Linked DNA regions of Oryctolagus cuniculus. The protein of the gene in region 2 binds, or shares a complex with, the protein of the main gene of each other region. Links are inferred from orthologs where the notes say so. Each region holds a gene or a part of one and is shown on either strand. Other genes may lie near its edges.

What was found. Proteins that work in one complex are often made in the same cells at the same time.
Region 1: the proteins of S1PR1 (region 2) and early activation antigen CD69 are in contact, whole or in part, in a cryo-EM structure (PDB 8G94), measured with the Homo sapiens proteins. The link is inferred for Oryctolagus cuniculus from reciprocal best matches to the Homo sapiens genes S1PR1 and CD69. Residues at the interface, in NP_001307659.1 of Homo sapiens: Asn157, Leu160, Phe161, Ile164, Ser165, Trp168, Val169, Leu172, Ile173, Gly176, Ile179, Met180, Gly181; in NP_001772.1 of Homo sapiens: Val41, Ala44, Val45, Val48, Val49, Thr52, Ile53, Ile56, Ile59, Ala60, Val63.

What each region holds. Positions count from the first base shown.
Region 1 is NC_091440.1:101,265,506-101,269,802, reverse strand, and holds the start of early activation antigen CD69, read left to right. Parts: upstream 1-1,490; 5' UTR 1,491-2,333; intron 2,334-4,297. UniProt on the Homo sapiens protein: Transmembrane protein expressed mainly on T-cells resident in mucosa that plays an essential role in immune cell homeostasis.
Region 2 is NC_091438.1:69,072,816-69,075,855, forward strand, and holds S1PR1 (sphingosine 1-phosphate receptor 1), read right to left. Parts: upstream 1,653-3,040; coding exon 504-1,652; downstream 1-503.

The sequences.
Region 1 (4,297 bases), on a different chromosome or scaffold from region 2:
CTACGTGGTGGGCGGAAGTGCTGGATCCCTGTTAGGGAGAAGACTGAGACAAGGAGGAGGAAGAGAAGGTGGGTGGCCAGATGGCAGATGCTGGGATGAAGCCATTCCCCCCACCCCCAACTTGAGATGAAATGCAGTCCTGTGCCTCTTACTAGTGTCCCTGTCCACTAGGACCTCATGGGTGACAGCGGCCTCAGGCGGAAGCTGAAAAATCCCTATTGACTGGTGACGTTTCCAACACATTACTTACCTGTGTATAATGGCGCTGGCGTGAACATAACTGCTGCTCTGCCAGTTGTACCCGAGTGTAGCAGTCGGGCAGCTCCAGGGCCTTGAGAGGAGCCGCCGAGTCGCCCCTTGCCCACCCTCCGGCCCTCACTCACCCCGACCCGCGGCCGTGGCCCCGCGCAGCCCCCAGGACTCCGCACCGCCGCCGCCGCCCTCTCCGCGCCGCGCCGCCCGCCACCGCCTCTCCGGCCACAGAGACCGCGATCGCGGCCGGGGACGCCGCCCAGAGGGCAGCGTGGCCACCGGACCTACGTACCCGCCTTGCTCACTATTTTTATGAGTGTATAACTAATAACTTTTTGTCTATAAAAGAATTTTAAAGAGACGTCTTCAATTTGTATTTAATCGAAAGCAGCCGCATCTCGGGCCACTAAGGTTGTGACTTCGTTTCTAAGCCCCGCCCCCCTCCTTCGCTGACTTTGGGGTTTTCGGGGTCCCTGGCTGCTTCGGGCTCCTGAGGACCGCCCGGGCCCCCACATTCGTGAGGCGGCCCCCGGGCGAGTGTGACGTGGCTGTCCGCGGTGCTCCGCTCCCGCGCTTCCCCGCGTTCACGTGCGGCGCGGCGAGAGGGCGGAAGACACTGCGCCCCGCGGGAGCCCCATAACAGCTGGCGGGAGGAGCTCTCCCGCACGAAGCGACCTCCCCCGGCCGCCCCTACGCCCCGGCGGCGGAAGACTCGGGGCCGCCGCCTCCGCGTCCTCCTCGGCGTCTGCCTCTGCATCGTCCTCCCCGCCATGCAGCGGTCTCGCTGGTGCGCGCTCCGCCTTGCCAGCTTCAGCCACCGGATCCGCGCGACCCGGGGGCGACCCGGGCGGCGGCCAAGCTCCCTGGCCTGGAGCCTGCGCCCCCTCCCACGGCTCCCTTCCAAGCTGGCGGACAGCCACGACTTGAGCCCGCCGGGCGGCTTCCTGCGGCCGGGATTGGACCCCGTGTCCGTCCCGCCGCAGAGACCGCTACCGCCAGGTGTAAGGCTGAAGGCAGTGAGCGCCCCCGGCCGCGAGTACGGCAACCCCGCGTGTTCGTCCGTGTTAGCAGGGGCGGCTCTGGGGGCAACCGCCGGGCGTTGGCGGCGCCCCACAGCGCCCGAAAGCTAGCCGGAGGCCGTCAGTCGGCCCCTAGAGGCCCACTTGCGCAGTGGGCCCCTGGATCTCAGCCACGGCCAGCGGCCGACTGCACACGACTTCCCCCTGGGGCGACAGCTCTCCAGCAGGACTACCCCGGGCCCCGGGTCCCCGAGGAACTGCGGAGCAGCGGGCACTGTCACCCCGCCCTGTCGCTTCCTCCGGGCTTCCAGCCCCATCTCGGGCTCAACCATTCGCCCTTCCTGCCCGACCAGATGCAGCCGCAGGGACTGCCGCTCCGTCACCAAGAGCTCGTGGCATCCGGTTCCTGCCTGGCGGAGGAGTCCAAGCCAAAGAGGTGAAGGAGGTGGTGGCCGCGGAAAGGGATGGCCACCCACACTTCCGATTGCGCGGGCCAAAGTCCACGCAAAAACGTTCTCGTCTTCAGGCACACCTGCGAACCCACACAGGTGGGGGACAGTGCCGCTGTCACCGGCATGGCTTGTAGGTGGAAGTTGCTCCGATGACCCCACCGGGCATCGGCCGTTCCAGTGCCAGAGGTGCGCTCCGGCGTTTTTCGGGTCGGAGTGCTTCGCCTTACTCAAGAAGAGGCACTTTGAAATCCCAGCCAGTGGCCAGGACCCACGCTGCTGGAAGAGAATTCAGTATTTTTAGCCTTTGACACTGTTTTCCTGACGCGAGGGAAGCGCAGCCAGAAAGCACTACACTTTCAAGTTCCCAAGGAGTCAACTCCTGAATGGATAATCAGGAGAAAGGAGGAATCCGGAAGACAAAAATCTGAGGGCATGTGGGGTCTGCGGCCGGATCTTCTATCATTCCAATTCTAATTCAACTTGAGTATTTCTGGACTTAGACGGACCGCCTAGGGACTGACTGGAAGTTGTGGATATCAGGGTATCAAGAAGAGCCAAGCCTTGGGGCGAGGGAAGACCAGAATTGTCATGAATTGAGCTTTGGTGCAATGTAAGTACAAAGATCACCTTGTGTTCTCTTTGCCTTCTAAAAGCCATTGTTCCCATGTTAGACGAGGTAGAAATTCAGTTACAGAAAATGTGTGTGCATAGCAAGAATGAGGGTGCTTGGTGAGTCTTGGTGGTACAGGTGCCCAGTGAGGAAGCCTAAGTTCTTAAACTGCTGCCTGCTTTGACAAGGACAGTGTGTTGTCTTCTGATCTACATGTACGACCTAGCTCAGGTAAATACACCTACTTTAACTTCTTTAACATTTTCATGCACTGTAACTTCAGATGTGCAATAATTTGTACAATGGTTTATTCCCAAGGATGACGTAAGCAGAACAAATGTTTTTATTATGTAGTTTCTTGCCTTGATAAATATGTAGTACAAAGTTAAGCAAACTTCTATTTTGTATGTTTGTAAGCTACGGTTAAAAAATGGAACATTTTGGATACACAAGGTGAGAATTAAGTTTTAAATAAACCTATAATATTTTGTCTGAAAAAAGTGCAGCAATGCAATGATAGCATATAATTCTTTATAATGATAATAAATGTGTCACTGGTTTATATATACTGTATTTTAATCATTGTTTTAGAGATGCTTTCTGCTTCTATAGAAATGACATGCTGTGAAACAGTATATCGTATGACACTGACAGCAGCCTCATACACCTTGTACTTGCCTTGTGTCATAGTTGAATCAAGGGGCCAGGTTGGGTACTGTACCATCCAGCTACACTCTGATGTGAAAACAGTGACAAAATTACCTCTGGTGTACTTCCTTGAACACATCTCTGTTCTTAAGTGAAGTGTGACACTCTATAAAAATTTCTTTCTTTCTTTTTAAAAGTCTGTTTCCAAAGTGTCTTATCCCTACTTGAGAGCAATAGGAACACTGGGAAGAGCACCCATGAGTCAATAGACAAACTTGCATTTGAATTCTTTCTTCTAATACTTGCTGTGTGGCACCGGGCGAAATGCTTCCCAGCTCTGAGCCTGTGTTTAATCGTCCACTTGCTTGGTTCATGGAAAGCTTTTTTCACAGTCTGTGACTGTTCCCTGTATGTTTATTTTGGAATAACCTGGTGTGTAAGAACTGGCCACCAAAGGCAGGTGTTGTGAGACTAAAGAAAGAGGACAGATCCAAGATGACATGGGCTTTCATTTACTGGGGGGACTCATGGACGGAAGTGTGGTCTTGGGCAACCACAAGACAATGGATCCTTGCAGTCTTGGTCAGTGTTAATGGGTTTGCATGTTAAGCTGGACAGAGACAGTCCCGGGCTCACCTAGGTGCTCCTGGACTTTCTCAAGAAATAGCAACAAACCAGGCATCAGATAAAGCCCTTTCTCAGGGCTTGGGATGACCTCTAGGGACACCTAAAGAGCAAGATGGTGATTATGTCCAAAGTGGCTGGAGTAATGTCAAGCAGAATCCCTACAGTGCTGCGTCCTTACAATCATTACCATGTTTTGAACATGGGTGTGCTCACAGTAGGAAATGAAAACGTTACAGAGGGTTCTATCAGGGAAAACAGAGTCTGCTCCCACCCCTGATGCCCCGCCCATCCACTTTCATTTCCTGGGGAAAAACACTGTTGACTTTTTGTGTGCCTTATCAGATATATTCTGTTTATATAGAACGATGTATAAGTACATTCTTATACAAATACACACATGTATTTAACTCAAGTCATAGTATAGAATAACGTTATTCCTAATATAACTTTTCCTCTGTTAACTATGTTTTGAATTTTCTATTTTTATCCTCATTAAAACTGCCTTTTTTTTTAAAAAAAGATTTATTTATTTATTTGAAAGTCAGAGTTACAGAGATCAGAGGCAGAGAGAGAGAATGATCTTCCATTTGTTGGTTCACTTCCCAGACGGCCACAACTGGAGCTGCGCCAATCTGAAGCCAGGAGCCAGGAGCTTCTTCCGGGTCTCCCACAAGGGTGCAGGAACCCAA
Region 2 (3,040 bases):
ACAAAGTAAAGGAGTTGGAGGAGGGGCGTGAAGGGGAAGGGAGGGAGGGATGTGCGGAGCATCCCAAAACAAGCAGAAGTGCACACGCTCACTCGGATTTGGAACTCAAGTGAAAGAAAACATCTTTCCAACACTCCAGACAGACGGACGCTTTCTCATGGGGACGTTAGTCTTTGAGGAGGGGCCAAAAGAACCCTTCGGGAGCTTGACAATGCTAGACCTTTGGCTCAGTGCAAAATCAAAGCTCCAGTGGGGAGGAAACAGACTCCAGGCCGGCCCGATCTCCACCCTTCCCAGTGCATTGTTCAGGGGAGCTACTGCTACCACAAACACGAGGCACCGCCACGATGCTGCGGTTTCCCCCCTCCTCCATCCCTCTGGCTCGCAGCAGCTCCTCCCTGGCAACAGTCGAGGCCCAGAGACGGTCCCCCTACCCCCACCCCCGACGCCGGGTGGTGGGCGACCATGTAACAGTGCTTCCCACGGGTTGGCAGCTGTCCGTTTTAGGAGGACGAGTTGACGTTGCCAGAAGACATGATGGTCTCGGGGTTGTCCCCATCGTCCTTCTGGGGGTGGGAGGAGTTGTCCGATTTACTGCGACTGAATTCCACGCCCGCGATGATGGGGCGCTTGAACTTGCCGGCCGAGTCTCCGCTGGGACACTTGCAGCAGGACATGATCCGGATGAAGGCCCGGCGCATCTCCTTGTTGGTCAGCGTGTAAATGATGGGGTTGGTGCCGGAGTTGAGCACAGCCAGCACCAGGAAGTACTCCGCTTTGAAGAGGATGTCGCAGGTCTTCACCTTGCAGCCCACGTCCAGCAGAAGCAGGATGAAGAGCGGGGCCCAGCAGGCGATGAAGACGCTCAGGACGATGATGACGGTCTTGAGCAGCGCCAGCGACTTCTCCGAGCTGCGGCTGGCCTTGGAAATGTTCTTGCGGAAGGTCAGCCGGCGGCTCCGAGTCCTGACCAGGGAGTAGATCCTGCAGTACAGGATGACGATGGAGAGCAGGAGCAGGGTGAAGACGGTGGTGCAGAAGAGGATATAGTGCTTGTGGTAGAGCGGCAACACGGTGGAGCAGCTGGACAGCGTGCTGATGCAGTTCCAGCCCATGATGGGCAGGCCACCCAGGATGAGCGAGATGACCCAGCAGGCGCTGATGAGCAGGAAGGAGCGGAAGCTGTTGCTGCCATTGTGCAGCTTCATCTTCAGCATGGTGATGTAGCGCTCGATGGCGATGGCCAGCAGGCTGAACACCGACGCAGAGAGCGCCACAAACATACTCCCTTCCCGCAGGAACCACTGCGCCGGCGTCAGCTTGTAGGTGGTGGCCCCCGACAAGAGCAGGTTGGCGGTGTAGGCCACTCCCGCCAACAGGTCTGAGAGGGCCAGGTTGCCAATAAAGTAGTACATGGGGCGGTGGAATTTCTTGGTTTTCCAAATGGTCAGCAAGACAAAGATGTTCTCCAGGATGATGAAGCAGCAGATGAGAATGAAAACCACCGAAGTCAGCTTAATGCCATTCTCCTTGTCCGCGCTGATGTTCAGCTTCCCCGTGTAATTGTAATGCCGCACGATGATATCGTAGTTGACATAGTCGGAGACCGAGTTGCGGAGGGCCTTGACCAGCGGGATGTTGGTGGGCCCCATGGTACCCGCTCTGTCTCCGCGCCACGAACCCGGGGAGCTCTTCTCCGGACGAGCGCTAGAGGGCGAGGCTGAGGCACGAGCTGTCACCCGCTGCCGGGGAGGTTCAGGGAGCAATCCAGGCTTTTTTGTGCAGCCTTGCCTTGCCTGGGGAGAGCCTCAGAAACCGCAGCCTGAAACAAGTCACAAAGAGGAAGGAGTCAGGCAGAAAGCCACAGCACACTGGTATAATTCATTCTGGCCAAGGCACTGCTCCAGTTTTGTTCTTGTTGATTTGGTTTAGGGAAACGTAGGGAGGGGAACTTTTTTGTTAAATAAATTTCTTGCAAAAAGGGGGGTGGGGCCGTTGGGGGTAGGGGCGAGGGGAAACAGAGGAAGAAAGCCCAAACATTTACCCAAGCTGAAAATTCCAAACAGAAGAGACGAAAACTCTCTCCCTATTGTCACAGCCGCTCAAATGGAAATGGGAAACCTGGGGTGCATGGCGGAAGGAGTAGGGGTGGGGAGGCGCCCCATTCGGACTCCACTCTCGCCTGCTCGCCCCACCCTCGACGCCCTGATTTCCATTCGGGAGATTCTCCGAAGCCGCCACCAGCTCAGCTGTGCGCTCACCACCAGCTCACGGCCTCTCCTCGGAAGACACTTAACCGCCAGCCACAGGGTGGAGACGCACACCTCTTCCCTTGCCCCACTTTACCCCCCACCCACGCCAAGCTCAAGGACGCAAGCACCACCTCCTAATTGCCATGCAAGAAATTAGATTTGCACGAAAATCATTTGACAGCGCAAGTCATTTTTTGGACTCTATTAATAACTCTCTAGGAGCAGGTGTGCTTAGGGTCGGAGGGCGCAGCGAGGTGTGGGCAGGCGGGTCCGCCCCATCTTGCGGTAAACAGGAAAGCTTAGCGCCTCCGTGAAGCAACTGCCTTTTCTACCTTCTTCTTTTTTTTCCCGCAAGTCAGTGCAAGTAAATTTAAAGGCGCTCAGTGCAAACCATTCATAAGAGATTGCAGCAAATCTCATAAGTTTTGCACATCGGTTGATTGCATAAATATTTTAGGGTTAGTATCACACGAGAGAGAGAAACAGAGGGGAGAGAGGGAGGGAGAGAGAGAGAGAGAGAAAGTTACAGGGCTAAAGATAACAACAGTTCATGCCACCGCATTCCTAATCTCCAATGCAAAAGCGCTCTCCAAAAAGGCGCCCACACAGACGTCTAGGGCATTGCTAAACTCGCCGGCGCAGCCTCATTTACGGCTGCCCTCCAACGCTCTGCCTCCTTTAAACACCCAGAAACTGAAGGGAATGACGCCCAGCAGCAATCTGCAAAAGTCTCTTTCAAGTTGGTTAAAAGTTTCAAGGTAAGGTTGCAAAGAAAAAGTGCAGTAAAG